3 linked regions of the Drosophila melanogaster genome follow. The protein of the gene in region 2 interacts with the protein of the main gene of each other region in a pairwise test. Each region holds a gene or a part of one and is shown on either strand. Other genes may lie near its edges.

Evidence for each region. Proteins that work in one complex are often made in the same cells at the same time.
Region 1: the proteins of Hsp67Ba (region 2) and grsm interact in a two-hybrid assay, tested with the Drosophila melanogaster proteins (one large-scale study listed by BioGRID).
Region 3: the proteins of Hsp67Ba (region 2) and Nup133 interact in a two-hybrid assay, tested with the Drosophila melanogaster proteins (one large-scale study listed by BioGRID).

What each region holds. Positions count from the first base shown.
Region 1 is NT_033777.3:12,964,713-12,969,438, forward strand, and holds the start of grsm (granny smith), read right to left. Parts: upstream 3,001-4,726; 5' UTR 2,889-3,000; coding exon 2,742-2,888; intron 2,667-2,741; coding exon 2,448-2,666; intron 2,037-2,447; exon of another isoform or gene 1,891-2,036; coding exon of another isoform or gene 1,841-1,890; intron 1,765-1,840; coding exon of another isoform or gene 1,317-1,764; exon of another isoform or gene 1,226-1,316; intron 1,212-1,225; exon of another isoform or gene 1,061-1,211; coding exon of another isoform or gene 731-1,060; intron 665-730; coding exon of another isoform or gene 1-664. Other genes in the region: Cyp304a1 (cytochrome P450 304a1), read left to right, coding at 1-664, 731-1,060; CG14384 (uncharacterized protein), read right to left, coding at 1,317-1,764, 1,841-1,890; CG7381 (uncharacterized protein), read right to left, coding at 3,471-3,571, 3,633-3,785, 3,850-3,981, 4,051-4,455, 4,519-4,638, 4,709-4,726.
Region 2 is NT_037436.4:9,377,254-9,381,453, forward strand, and holds Hsp67Ba (heat shock gene 67Ba), read right to left. Parts: upstream 2,282-4,200; 5' UTR 2,187-2,281; coding exon 849-2,186; 3' UTR 549-848; downstream 1-548.
Region 3 is NT_033777.3:22,688,833-22,695,272, forward strand, and holds Nup133 (nucleoporin 133kD), read left to right. Parts: upstream 1-1,774; 5' UTR 1,775-1,867; coding exon 1,868-2,043; intron 2,044-2,098; coding exon 2,099-2,273; intron 2,274-2,333; coding exon 2,334-2,837; intron 2,838-2,888; coding exon 2,889-3,201; intron 3,202-3,256; coding exon 3,257-4,095; intron 4,096-4,165; coding exon 4,166-4,844; intron 4,845-4,914; coding exon 4,915-5,456; intron 5,457-5,519; coding exon 5,520-5,894; 3' UTR 5,895-5,940; downstream 5,941-6,440. Other genes in the region: wfs1 (wolfram syndrome 1), read right to left, coding at 1-1,185, 1,243-1,341, 1,401-1,464; cd (cardinal), read left to right, coding at 6,195-6,361. UniProt on the Drosophila melanogaster protein: Probable component of the nuclear pore complex (NPC). Plays a role in NPC assembly and/or maintenance.

The DNA of each region.
Region 1 (4,726 bases), on a different chromosome or scaffold from region 2:
ATATCGCGTGCTTCTGCCGCTGCTCTTTAATCCCTTCTCGGCCAACGCTCACTTTTACATTGTCTACAATGAGTGCCTGAGTCGCGAGGAAATGGGCAAATTGGTGAAGCTCTGCCAGATGGGCATACAGTTCCAGCGGAATGCGGACGACTACGGCAAAATGTTGAGCATTATACCGTGGATTCGGCACATTTGGCCCGAATGGAGTGGCTACAACAAGCTAAACGAGTCCAACCTATTCGTGCGGCAGTTCTTTGCCGACTTTGTGGATAAGTATTTGGACAGCTACGAAGAGGGTGTGGAGCGCAACTTCATGGATGTCTACATAGCTGAAATGCGCCGAGGTCCGGGCTACGGTTTCAATCGGGATCAATTGATCATGGGCCTGGTGGACTTCTCCTTTCCGGCCTTCACTGCCATCGGAGTGCAGCTATCGCTACTCGTCCAGTATCTCATGCTATATCCGGCAGTTCTGCGGCGGGTTCAGAACGAGATCGACGAGGTGGTGGGATGCGGACGATTGCCCAACCTGGAGGATCGCAAGAACTTGCCCTTCACGGAGGCCACCATTCGCGAAGGTCTGCGCATCGAGACGCTGGTTCCCTCGGATGTCCCGCACAAGGCGCTGGAGGACACCGAATTGCTGGGCTACCGGATACCCAAGGTTAGAAAAGTTTCCTATCTATTTAATTTTAAAAACCAAACTATTTTCCCCTATATACCCGTACAGGACACCATTGTCGTGCCCAGCCTGTATGCCTTCCACTCGGACGCCCGTATTTGGTCGGATCCGGAGCAGTTCCGGCCGGAGAGATTCCTGGACGCGGATGGCAAGCTCTGCCTGAAACTGGATGTCTCGCTGCCCTTTGGAGCGGGAAAACGGCTCTGTGCCGGCGAGACATTTGCGCGCAACATGCTCTTCCTGGTGACAGCGACCATGTGCCAGCACTTTGACTTCGTCCTGGGCCCCAATGATCGGTTGCCCGATCTCTCCCAGAACCTCAATGGACTGATTATTTCGCCACCAGATTTCTGGCTGCAACTACAGGATCGGCATTGAAAGTAGCCAAGATATTAGAGTTATCTATTTTTAAGACAAAGTAATTTTACTGATTACGTTAGCTAGTTTGCTTGGATATTTTTTGAGGAATTTTATTCCGTCACATTTCAAAAATATTCTAGAATTGCCCAATACTATTATGTGATGCACCACAACGAACTATTTATTTTAACATTGTCGTTTACTCATATCGTGTGGTATCAAAGTTCGCGAACGGAACTTGTTGAGAAGATGCGATTGGAATGAGATGGGTTTCTTAGAAATCCTCATTATCGCTGTATACAATGCAATCAGAATCTGAGCTGGTGGATGAAAAACTCAATGAGCGAACCAGCGAGACCATCGAAGAATGTATTGAGGGATTGGGGGACTGGATAGCATTGTACTCGGATTCTGAATCCGGATCGTATCCTTCCTCATCGTCCATTTCCTCTTGCGGGTTCACGAATGAGTTGTCCAAAGGATCCACCTCGTTGGCGGCTTCCATCGTTGCACCCTGAGTCTCATTGCGCAACTCGATCACTTCTTGGCGAATCTGGTTCTGCTCCTCCGCAATGGTGGCCACCAGTTGTTCGAGACTGCAGATCTTGGCCTCATATTCGGTCAGTTTCTTCTTCAGCTGACAGTTTTCGGCCCGACAGTTGGCCAATTCCAAGCAGGCGCACATGGCGATCTTGACGTCATCCGAGGTTGCGGACCTGGTACTGTATGCAAACCACATTGTTACCACAAGGAACACATACGCCGGATATCGAAAGCGATCTCTTGGCCGAAACTTACATGTTTAAGCCACTGGAGTTCTTATTATGAACCGGGCAATTGAGGGACATTTTGAGACTTGAAATTTATAGGCAGTTCAGTTTAGCAATTGTCTTACGACAAAATCAACTTTGACCTATTTGTACTCGGAAAGTTCACCCAGAAATATTTGACACTGTTTTACTGTTCTCTTCGATTCGAATGCAAATATGAGCTTCTGAAATACAGAAATTCAAGGTCCCTAGATTTTAATCTCCATTTTAAATGGGTCGCAAATCGAATATAAATCAAAAGATACAGTCAAATTACTGCAGATTGTTTTACTAGCCGAGCTGATAACAAAAATAAAATAGCAAACTGCAAGATAATGTGCAAACACTTTGACCAAAATGCCCTTATCAATATTAAGACAATTGAGTGGCAACAAAAAAAATAGAAAATAGAGTTGAAAACAAGGTGATAATTGTTTGGTTACGAAAACGACAACTTGTTCGCTATGAACCCAGTGTTTAAAATTCACTATCAAAACAAGTGAAGTTGACATACACATGAAAATATATCTTACTTAAAAGTAACTTTTATAAATAATAAAATAAATGTTAATATTATTTAAACTACTGGCACTTACGCCTTTTGGTGACTTCATCAGCATGCATTCACGACTCGAGCGGTTGGAGCTGCTTTTCCGGGGACACCTATTGACGCTCCTTGGCTTGCAGGCCGGAGTCGTGGGCTTTCGGGAACACTTGGGCACTATTTTCTTGCGGCCGCATCCCATATGTTTGAGTTTCTCCGATTGACGCCGATGACGCGAAGTGGAGCTTTTGCTGAGACACCGTTTCTGGTACTGCAGGGTATTAACGAAGGGCAGAAGATAAAGTTCGCCGGTCAGGGGGAAAGTGTGTAATCCCTAGGAACTTACTTTCGATCGATACTGATTCTTTTCTCGCGAACTCAATGCATTCCAGTACCCCGCTCCCTGACGCAGTGACTCCTCCATTTGGAGGTGCGGGGATTTAAGATGTATAGCCACCGCGTAACTTAAAAAGCCGTTTGGATACGGTGCCATCTCTACTTATACTTTTCAACTAACGTACTGAAATTTAGGATGCTAAACTAAGAATTACGTACAAAACATTCGAGCTTGAAAAATTGAAAGGTACAAATTTGAGTTGAGTTGCTGTTGCTAACTGATAGAAGTGAAATCTCAAAACTACTTGTTTAATAATAATTGCCAGTTTCTGGATTTGATACACAACTCTTCGTTGGCCTTAGTTTATTATGATGTATATATTACAATTTGGTTAAAAACTGTTCGCTTAGCCTAGCAACAAGCGGTTTAACTTCAAAACTTACAGATAATTTGTCATTACACTTAGCCGTATTAGATAAGCGAGAGTCGTTCCGTTCCGAGGACCCTTTCTCCAAATTTATATTGCTTCGACTCCTAAATATCAACTTACGAACTAATTGATTTATATTCACGTTGCGCATGGACCTGCATCCATGCCAGTAACTTGGCTAATACTGGCCACTCCCGCCGATCCCCAAATCACCCCGATCCCCCCAAGGTCCTTGGCCAACTCCTCCCTCGATTATCCTCGCCATTCCCCAAACACGCAGGTGAAAGGATTTAGGTTTTGGTTTGGTTCTAGTAGTAGGCCTGCTTTATGGCCGCACTGGTGATAAGGAAAGCGGAGCCAATCAGCATGAAGGTGATGATTTTGAGAGCACTTGGTCTACCGGAAGAATCTGCGAAAAGCGTGACATTCATAGATCATCCTTACTCAATTGGTTTTGCAAGGACACTTACTTTTCTTATTGGGCATCACGCGAATGCATTGATTCTGATTGGCGTTCGCCGAGTAGCCCAGCTTGCACTGGCACACGGAGTTGCGGCACTCGACATTCTCGGGATCCTTTTCTACATAGCACTCGGTGGCCTTGGTGCACGACTCTCCCAGCTCTGCAAGATTGCAACATATTAGAATTATTACAAATAATTAAAGAAAGCTTAGCGACTCAATTACCTCGCTTCGTCTCACAGACTCCGTTCTTAGCATGCTGCTCATCGTTGCATCCACACTTGCCCTCCGAATTGCAGCTCGCCAGGAGCGGCTTGCACTGCTCATCCTCGACGCACTCGTCCTCCAGCTCCTCGGCTATAATGAAATGTAATGTGGGGCAGGGCATAATTTTGCTGCTTTGCATTTCAGCTTCTGAGTACTAACCCTCTTTTAGGCACTCATCCTTAAAGTGCACGTATCCCTTTCGGCACTGGCAGGTGCGCGACTGATCCTCCTCGTCCTTCTCCTGGCATTCGGTGTTCTCAGGTATGCAGTCATCCTCCACCGAGCAGTCGGCACCGATGCCACGCATACACTGATCGTCCTTCTCAAAGTAGTTGTCCGCACAAACGCACACGCGATTGGAGCAGACGGAGTGATCCACAGGACAGCCATCGTTCGACTCACACTCGGCTCCCAGGCCACGTTTGTATTCGCAGAGCTGCTTGATGGCATCGTAGAGAGCGTACTCCTCGCAGGTGCACCTCCTCGGAATCTCCGGGTGGCAATAGGAGGCGCCAAATGGACTGCATTGGCTGTTCGAGGTGCAGGATAAGTGGTATTGAATGGCTGTTTTGATGGAAAAGGATATATCTTAAGTGCGATTCAGCAGCTAGCGTTGGAACCACCTACGTTTTCTGCAATTGCGCAGATCCCGCTCGTAGAAATAATTCTTTTGGCAATTGCAAGTTTTGGTCAACTGATCGAACTCGTACTCGCACTCATCCGTGCTCTCCGCAATTTCCCCCAGTTCTAAAGAATTTTCATTTCAGTTAATTTCATTAATAGAAGAATTAAATTGGGGGAAACCCAGTTTACTCACCGGCAAAACATTTTCCAT
Region 2 (4,200 bases):
AATGAACTTGTTTGACTTGTAAGCAAAGGTTTTTAATCCTTTTTTTTCTCGTTTGAAGTTTTGCTTTTGCGCAAAGTTGCTTTGAGTTGTTCACTGCTCGATTTTTGAATTCGATCTGTGCTCTGTTCGTCAAGCGACGCTGCTTTTATACCCGCTGGAGCTTTTCTAGAAGAGTCCGGAAAGTGACAGAAAAAGGAAAGAGTAGAGAGAGAGAAGAGAAGAGAGAGAACGTGCACAGAGAGAAAAAATTATGAATATAGCTTTGTATCGTTTGATAAACGAGGGATCAAATTAGAAATTTCTTTTATAAAAGTCTAAATTGAATGCTGCTCTAAAAACAAAAAATAAAACTAACTAACCTTTCCCAATAAATGCCATGAGTTTCGAGAAATTTTAAATGTAGTTGTTGTCGTACGCGCAAAAGCAGAGCTAGTGCGCCTGTATGAGTGAGAGAGCCGAAGTTTCTAGAGAGTTGTTGCAATTTTCTAGAAAGAGCGCAAAAGAAACAGCCGGCTAACGGCAAACAAAACAAAACGTCAGTTTTTTTTATTCTGGTTTTCCTCTTTATTAAGTACATTATTTCGTGTTTCTGTCTTTAAGTTTTACTGGAATACTTGTAGTTGTTGTCACATATGTTTTTTAGAAAATCATACATACATATAACGCCAGCAATCTCCCACTATTAGTAATTGAGTGCTTTTCCCGTCAGCTTTCTCGCTTCTTTTTTTTTGTGTGAAATGCAAGAAAAGAAAACACAAGAAACACGTATGGAATAAAACGCACGCCTACCCGTGCAGATTATTATTTGTTCTTAATTACTATTTATGTTCTTTCTTTTAGTTCAGTCTTCACTTGGCCAGTTCCTCGGTTTTGGCTGCAGTGGCTCCATTTTCGCCTTGGTTTTTGGCCAGTAGAATGGCCGCATCTACGGCTGCCAGTTCCTCGCCGCCCTTCTCCTCCACTTTCTCTACTTTATCAACCTTCTCCGCCTGCTCCTCTTTGCTGTCTTCCGTGGAGATTTCCGGTTTCTTGGCCAGCGGCATTTCCACATCCTCGGCTGCTGCGACTGCTCCATTGCCGTTATTCGAGGCAACGGGCACTTCGTTGGCATTTGCATCCTCTGCCTTTTGCTCCTCTTCGATGCTTATAACGGGATTGGGTGTGGGTTCATCCACATTGGCAGTCTCTTCGTTTTTGGCCAACGCCACTTCCATGGACTCTGATTCTGGTTCTGCAACGCCATTGTTGGCACTGGAAGTGGTTCCTGCGGTGGAAGGGGCTTCCACTGCAACAGCAGCGGCAGCAGCAGCCTCATTGGAAATGGGGGGCGAAACAGCCGGCATTTCCATCTCTGTCTCTTCCTGACCGTTGCCGTTGCTCTCGGCGAGAGTGAGCGAGAGCGAAGGAGTGGGTGTGGGTGCAGTCGGATTTAAAGTGGAAGTGGTGGCACTAGCTGCCGCCTGCTGCTCTACCTCTGACGGCTTTGGCGGCTGCGCATCCTTATCCTTCTGCTGCTGCGATATCTGCTGGATGTCTACGATGCGCTCCTGTCGTTCCAGGCTGCCTTTGACGACTGGAAGTGGTGGCGGCGCCTTCACCGTCAGAATGCCGTCCGAGGAGAGGGTCGAGTGCACCTCGTTGGGATCATAGCCCTTGGGCAGGATGTACTTGCGGATGAAGTGGCGCGAGATCACCCCGTGGCCATCCTCCTTCTCGTCGTGCTGACCCTCGACCACGATGCAGTTATCGATGGTCTTGACGGTCAGTTCGTTGGCGGCGAACTGCTTCACATTCATGCTCACCTGGAAGCCGTTCCTATTCACCACGGAGTAGGCGGATTTGCTGGCCGCCGGTTGGCCACTGGTGCTGCCGCTTGCCCCGGACGTGCCCTTATCGCCCAATTCCTTTTCCAGCTCCACCAGCGACTTATTGCAGCAAGCAGTCTTGGCTCCGGCCACACGATTGTACGGATGATGGCGATGCTGCGATGCCGCCGACTGACCCTTGATGGGCACCCACATCATTGCATTCCCACGCCCCAACCCACGACTCAGCTGTGGCAACTGTGAGGTGGCCTCCAGTGGATACAACCCGAATCCGGCCGAATCATCTATATCCATTGCCAGGCTGCGATTGAAATCGTGCAGCTCCTCGGCCAAATCTAGTATGAACGGTATCAGCGACATTTTCACTTTCTTCCTATCTGGCTAAGATATATCTTTTATTTTTTAGGTCTTGCGGGGATTGGTGTCGTCTGGGAACCGGCGGCGATCCGTTCTGGCCTCCAACTGGACTGCGTTTGAGCCCTTATGGCTGAATGTCGACGCTTTTAAGCGGCTGTGCAGCGCTGAATGGAAAACCTGGTCACTTCCAGTCGGCTTCCATGCCAGCTCCCAGGCGAAAAACTATGCAACTCCTCCAGAGAACTCACCAAGGGGAAGGGCTACCCATTAAAACAGTCAGTCAAGCCATGTACTATGCCATTTTCTGCTATATACACCGAAATAAGAGATACTTTTCCTCTACCGCAGATAGCCAGAGAACAAAGAAAGTACTCGTACTCGTAGTCGGCAAGAAACCAGACAAACCAAACTGCAACGTTGCAAAACCAAATAAAAAAGATACGTAAAAGAGGCAAACCGGCTTGAAATCGAAGCATATATGCACGAATATCCCCCCCAAGAGATGCCATCTTCCTTGTACCGGCGATATACATATATGTACTCATATATACAAATATCCATATAGACGGGGTATATGTAAAGTGGTCGTGTTGCAGCTGAATTCCCACTGCCGGCATTGAGCGAACAGCTGAGAGTCTGAGTCTCGTGCCGGTTGCCGATGCGGATTCGAGTCGCCGGCGATAAACAACTACAACAACAGCTGGCTGGCTGGCTGGCTGGCAGGGCCGCCTGGAAGCTACAAATCCGCTGTTGCCAGAGCTGGAGGATTGGCAAGCCGGCGTCGCGTAAACATGCGCAGTGACAGCGTCTGGGGCAACCCATACATATGGTATCTCCATATACATTTGTATCTACATACATACATACATACCCTGCCACACAGATGATGATGATATTGCTGGATTCGTATGTGGTTACATAGCCAAGTGCAAGCGATGGCAACCGGTTGAAAAGCTCCAAAATGCAAAAAACAACAACAACACCAACAACATCCAGACGGGGGCCAGACAGTGGAGACTTTGCTAAAAATTTACTGGGGCCCCGAACTCAGCTGCGGGATACAATTCTGTATGGCCATATATTATATTATATAGTATGTTTGTATTGATATGGTGTATCTGCCAGCTGCAGTCGGAAAAGAGCAAAAACCTTCAGAGATTGCTGCGTACGAGATGCCCCCTTGTACATACGATACATTCCCCATGTACATACACACTGGGTACTTGCTCCCATTTACCTAACCAAGGGGAAGAAATCCGCCGGACGAGCATGCTCGCACATTATGTGGCCACCTTTTTGAATAGACAACTTCCACTGCGTTGGCGTTGGATTGTCCAAGCCCTGGGCACCAAGAGTACTCTACTTCAGTGGAGGAGGAGTGGTGACAAGAAAATGGGGCCATAAATAAAAACTCGAATTATATAACAACCAGAGATTGAGTTCTATAGCAATGCCCATGTATTATATGGTTATTCAATCGCTACTGTAACAACAAATTGTAAACAAATTGTCATTTGATTTGGTTATTACGAAGTAATTCTGAATTCTAAACAATGTGTATATAAGCTGAATATTTATCAAGTTGTACCAAGCAAATGTGCAGCTAAATCTTACATACATACATATGTATTTGTCTTAAGAAATTGGTCAAATATAATAAAAGGTTACAGCCTCGTTTTCAATAAACCAAATATTGACTATTAGAATTTATTAAATGTTTTTAATGTTTTTTGGTTTATGTTTTCATCTATCGACCTTTGAAATTCAAAATAGTTGCATTACATTTTATTCAAATAATTTTTACATCCTTCGAATCCTTTATTGTATGAATGTACATATGTTCCAAATCGTATCATTTTTACATTTTCTTACTGATTGGAGTAATAATACGCTTACATCCCATGGGTTATTACCTACCCGGCATTAACCACTTATGTATTTTAATTAGATTTCCCCACTACAGAGCCCCATTCTTGGATATTAATTAAAGTTAATAGCTTAAATGCCAGGCCATAAA
Region 3 (6,440 bases), on a different chromosome or scaffold from region 2:
AATTCAAACAGAATTCAATGCCATTGCCAATGACAAACGATGAGAAAGTAGGTACGCGTAGGTCAAGAAAGCGCCAGCGCGTAGACACAACCTCGTCCATTTCGTACGGATATTTGGCAAGAACATTTACGGCAAAGGAAACAATCACTAGCCAGTCAGGCAGTTGGTGGGAGGAGGCGTACATGGACACGCACATGGTGATGAAGGTCAAGGCTCCAGAGATTATAGTCAGCTCCGAGTGTGGCAGCCAGGCGTCTGTGACCAACGGGTAGACAATCAGGTTGCAAATGAAGGCACAAAAGAAGTACAGGTACGGCTTCATATTGTTGCGTAAAAAGCGATGCTCCGCAATGTCCGCCTCGATGTTCTGATCCCCGTAGCTCAGGAACAGTCCCGACCAGATGCGAAAGTCCACGAACTGTTGTTTGGTTTTCAGCATCTTACACGTGGCCCAGATCATGATGCCCAGACTGAGATAATAGCTGACCAGGGGCAGCATATGCCGGCTGCTCCACCAAGAGATTGCAACGAGCACGCTGCAGCGCACGCTCAGAGGGATGACGTTGGGTATGGACACAATCAAGTTAAGCAGCCGGTGGTAGAACAGGGTGAAGAAGATAAGCGGGTGGAAGATCATGCGGTAGAAGCAGGGTACATGGTCCAAGCTCCTAGGATCCGGGACGGATAATGTGAGAGCATCATTAACGCTGGGCATTTGTCCGGCACTGTAATTGGAAGCTGCCGAAACGAGGTGAGCTTCGGTGATGAGGCGGCGTCGCTCCACATTGGCTAGGTCAATGGTGGGCACATCTTCGAGCGGTTCGCACTCCGGCTCCTGCTCGCCCTCGCTGCTCGACGAGGAGCGGTCATCATCGCGTCGACGCCGCTTGCGTTGCAGATTGTAGATGCGCCGCATTTTGCGCTCCAGCTGCTTGGGCGTTATATGCTCGTTTCCATTTGATAGGCAGGCAAAAAGCTCCCGGGCTGCTTTTCTGGCAGCCCGCTCACCAGGCGTCATAGCCAGGCAGCGACGCACTTCGTCCGTATTCTCTGCCGTAATACCGCTGCCATCGTTGTAGCACTGGCGTAGCAGCTTGACTGCATCCTCGTGTCCATTGTGTGCTGCACTCACCAGCCAGTTGACGGCCTTCTGGCTCTGATTGCCTTTGGCAAGATTGGGCTCTACTGCGGACATAGCAATCTTCATTATCTTGTAATTCTCGAGCAAATCCTTACACTCACCTATGGAATTATCGAGTAACTCTTTGGCCAGATCGTATTGCATCTGGGGGCATCCCTCCTCGGCGATGTGATGCTTAAGTTTGTTCAAGGAGGCACGATCTGTAAGGGAAAACATCTTCACTTTATGAACGTGTATCAATCAAAGCTCAGAGATTTACCTTCCAGATTCCAACGCCTGCGCTTGGTGACACCTGTCGGCTCATTTTGCGTCCAGGTGGCCATCTATGTCGAGTTTTTCGCTTTGTTTACGAAAATCTATGAAATAATTCTAGTCTTGACTTAGCGATGGCATCGTGTAGAACTTGTCTTAGAGATGGACTCACAAATATTAGTTAATATAATTATTAATTTAAAAATTTGTTTACCAAAGTTTAATTATTCATCGTATATAGTATATAAAATACATTTATGTAGTATAAATAATTTCCTATATTTAAATTTGTGTTCTTTGTGTATAATGTCGTGACTTCTAATCGATAAATAACTCAAATGTACTCAGCTGTGATTTCGATATTGCGACATCAAAAATCGATTCACACACATGCCGGCTAGATTGTTTGCTGTTGCAAAAGTAGTTGTTTATTTTTGATTTATAGGCATTTCCCAAATAAGAGCCAGCACAAAAATGGAGAGAAATCTGCAGAAGCAATTATACGGCATATCGCGCGAATCTTCACCAGGTGCACGAAGGTACAGCATGCCAGCAGCCTCGGCAGACAGCACGCGTAAATCAATTTTTGGCGGCAGCGCCAGTTGCGCCCAGATGTCGGGGAGCCTCAAAAGGACTGCCCTGACCAACAGGTATGTGCTAACTTATTCTCCTGGAATTTCCCACTCATCAAACAATCCTTTTCAGCCGGCTCAGCTTGTCGGTGCGTTCCACTCAGTCCATTGCCGGCATCCGATCCGATTACAATTCGGTAGAGAGCTTCGGTTGTCCACTGCCGGTGGTGGTCAATGAGGCACTAACCTTCGCAGGTCCAGGAGCGGGCACAGTAACAGCCAAAGTGACGCAAAACGGTTGGGCTTGGGTAATATATCAGCAACTCTCATTGTATCTGGTTCAGCAATCAGTACGATTACCTTTTCAGGTTGTCCAAGGCAGACGCCTCTTGATTTGGCAGTATAAGGACACGGCCAAGTCGGGCTCGCCACCTCGTGTGGGCAAACTGGCAAGACGTGGTGGTGGTCTGGCCCAGTGCCGTGAATTGACTTTACCTTACAGTGACCTGGGTCACAAGAGTGATTTAATCAGTGTTTTCCAGACGGAGGGTCAGCAAATGGCCTCCTGCATAGCGGTATCAGCCACGGGAGAAGTTCGGTACTGGTCATCGATTGCGCACGATGGGAACTCCGTGGATCTTTCCATCTTAACTGGCCAAGAGTTTGTCCAGCTGCTCAGTCTACCAACGCAGCAGGGCTACCTAGCCGTTACAACCACCTGCAATCTGGTATTCCTGCGAGTCGGACTGACCAACGGACGTTACACACTTCACCATAAGACTATCAAGCCTGCCACTAGCTTCCTTGGTGGTTTTGGCAAAAAGTTTGCCTCCATTTTGATTGGAATGAACACGGGTGCAGACAAGGATCAAGTAAGTATCTTCGTCCAGCATGGGACAAAAATCTCATGAAGTGTTTTTTAGACTTTGGTCGGCATGTGCTGCGAGAGCAATTTAGAAAGTGGAGAAACCATTGTGGCCGTGCTCTCTGATCGTGCAATCCAGCGCTGGAGTCTGTCCAACAATGGCAACACCGAAAACCTTCTGTACGAGGATGCGGATATGTTGCGCAGGATACGCGAAGAGTTTATAACGAACTTTTGGAAGTTCCGACTCCCAGCGGATAGTTTGGAGATCGATCTCCATCTGTTGGACTTTCACGTGGTTAAGAACAAAGCTTATATACTGGCTGGAGCTGTGAATGCTGCTCACGCTCCACAAATGTGCTACGCTCTGGGTAAGAAGTATGTGACAGCAAATCTTGATATGGTATATAATGTTAAGTATTTTAGTGACTGGCACTGCTCAAGCTGAAAGAATGCTTCTGGAATCGTTCACGCCGCTCAATATGAACAAATTCTTTAGTGCCAAGACTGAGGAGGATTGCCTCAGCGTGCGTTTTGTAGTAGGCAGCAGCCACATCTATTTGTATACTTCTAAAGTTGTGTATCCTCTGCACTTGACCAACTCGGTGCCGACAGCAGAGCTAGAGGCGGAAAAGATCGAGTTCCATCAGCACGATGATCGCATTTTGAGTGCCGTCATCTGCAGCCAATTGCCATTGTTCTTTAGTCGCACACATGGCCTAGTTTCTATTACACCGGGCGATTTTGATGGTACTGAAATGATGAACATGAGCTCCTGCAACACGCCAGATTTATATGCTCCCAATTCGTGTAATGCTAGTTTCGCAGTTGCCGATCATTCTGCTTTGACTAACAGTACTAATAATCTTCACCTTTTCGAACTGGATCCGGATGAAATGTACAACGAACTAAGCGATGAAGTTGGTCAACTAAAGGCAGCGTTCCTATATCACATGAAACGCAACAGCAATATGGTCAAGACGATCGTCGATGAGCTGCTTCGTAATGTCACTGCAGCCGATCCAAGTGGTGCACCCATGGATGCTTACAAGTTGGATCGAATTGTTATTACCATCGCCGAAGACTTGGCGGAGGATATACCAATAGCCGATCCCCGATGGGAGGAGGCACTTGCAGATCAGGAAATGAATAGGCATGCCATCGGCAGCTCTCGTTCAATGCAGATTATCAACCAACTAAGGGACAAGATCATTGCTTTCCAGCACTTCATAACGTTTCTGCATTCCAGTTTAGTTTGGGACAAGGTATAAGGACAAAATATTTATTTGTTTATTTATTTGATTTTGTTAACAAAATCAATACTTTTCGTTCCAGTTAAATGTCATACCTTGCGGAAGCCATTCGCTGAAACCCACCGGCTGTATTCTAGCCGATATCAGCGAGAAGATAGTGGCTGCTATGGCTCTGCGATCCATTCAGACCAAACTGCCCAAGCTGATTGAAGAGGCTATCGATGCCACCGTAGCGTTATGGCATGAGGAGCCTCAGGGCAGCCTAACTTACCAGGATATATTTTACGTAAAGCTGTCTAGGTTTCAAAACGTGTTCGAGGCCCTGGCGGATATTGCTGACGATCGAATCGCTGCTCAGAATCAGACCACCATATCAGTGGCCCACTTTGTCAACGAGATAAACTCCATTGTCCTAGACGTTTTGGGACAAGTGTTCAAGTATCGAAAGCAGCACGCAAGCAGCTTTAGACTGAGCCACGAAAAACTACCTTCCTACGAGAATCTACCTTGGACTGCGATGGCTGGCAGTGCGGGAGTTCGTGACACGCTGACTCGCCTCATTGACATTAGCGTTCGCTATGGCAGCCACTGCGTTAGCGAGACTGAGCTAAAGCAGCAATTGTACCAACAGATATTCGAACTAATTGATTTGGTTTTGGACGGACGGAAGACTTACTTAAAAAGCGTGCGCGACACGGAAAAGTTCAATGTTCTGCAGCAGCAGTTTGAGGCTCAGCGAAGGGAACTCATCTCCGTGCTAAGTAAGTTGTGTATTCTATTCATAATTTAAAATTCTTAAATATTTCTTATGTCTTTTTTTTTATTTTGTAGTCAAAGATCGCCAATACGAGTACGCCGCAAAGATCGCCGAGAAGTACCTCGATTTTCAGAGCCTGGTGCTTATCTGCGATGAGACGCAGGACAAGGAGCGACTGGAAGATTACACCCGCAAGTACGAGGAATATGACTTCTCACAGTTTGCCATCAATTGGCATCTGCGCCAGAACCGGCACGGCGAGGTATTCGAACGCTTCAAGGGCAACCAGACGGCTTTGGCTCAGTTCATGCGTGACCATCCGTCCCTTGGGTGGATCCAGCTAATATTCAACGGCGACTTCGAGCGGGCGGCCAAGGTGCTGTACGAGTTGGCCCAATGCGAAACGGAGTTTGTGGCGCGCAAGAAGTCTATGCTGTCGCTGGCCAAATTGGCCGCCTTCGCGGCAGCCGAATCCGATTTAACTGCCCAAGTTGAAAAGATCAACGCAGATCTTACGCTGGTCGAATATCAATCGCAACTGGGCCATGACGTACTGGAAAGCTTTGGCTTCGATCCAGCAGAACAGAAGGTGCTCAAGGCAGAGGAGATTATCAGCGTAAGATTTCACAAATTAATATACTTAATTCACTTATAAATATTACCGTCTTATTATCATTAGCTTTACATCGCCGAGGAAAATGAAACTGCCAGCGAAACGGAATTCCGTAAAGCTTTGGAACTTCTGAGCTACGTGGAACAGCCGTACGACATGCGGCACAAGATCTGGTGTGCAGCTATAAAACGCGATAACTGGACGGACTACGATCCCAACAATGCGGTGCATTACATGCAGAAGTTGCTCTTTTACAAGATCATCGAAATCTCGCAGCTGATGGGCAACGATTCCGAGAACGTTTTGCCACCCATGGAAGACTTTCTGGAGAGCGTGGAGCTCGGCGATTTGCCGCAGCAGAAACCGTTTCAGTATCTGTTGAAACTGACCTATGAGTATGTGGCCGACATGTTCAAACAGCCAGACGACATGGAACTCTAATCAAGCACCTCACATGTCTTTCTATTAAAGTTTACGTTAAGAATTTAAAATGATGGCTGGTGTTCTTGGACGGTGGACAGTTGCCTGCCTTGTTGTTGCGTCGCTCAAACGCAGGCATTATAAAATATTATAAACTAAGTTGCTTTGTCACAGCCGGTCTCTGCCGGCGAAAGTATCTGAAGTGTGGCGAACGGAGAGTCGGAAGCCCACCAAGTGTGTTCGGGGCAACTCTAGAGTCGGCCTGACTGGCAGCTGTGCTGTTTGCATTTGTCGCCGGTGCGCATCAGTTTAACTTTGATTATGACGGACGAAACAACGCCGCTTACCGATGCCGTTCCCAGTGGCTCCGGATATGTTGTCCTGCCGCCGTATCAGGGACCGGAGCGTGTCTTTCCGGGTGGTGTTTCTCCGCGTGCGCGACGCAACAAGATGCGACAGTTCCAGTGCTGCATGGGCATCACCTTTATGTGAGTGTGAAACGAAGAGTTGGAACTGCGGCAAAAGAACACCTATCCTTAGAAACTATTGCTATAGGCTCTAAATTGT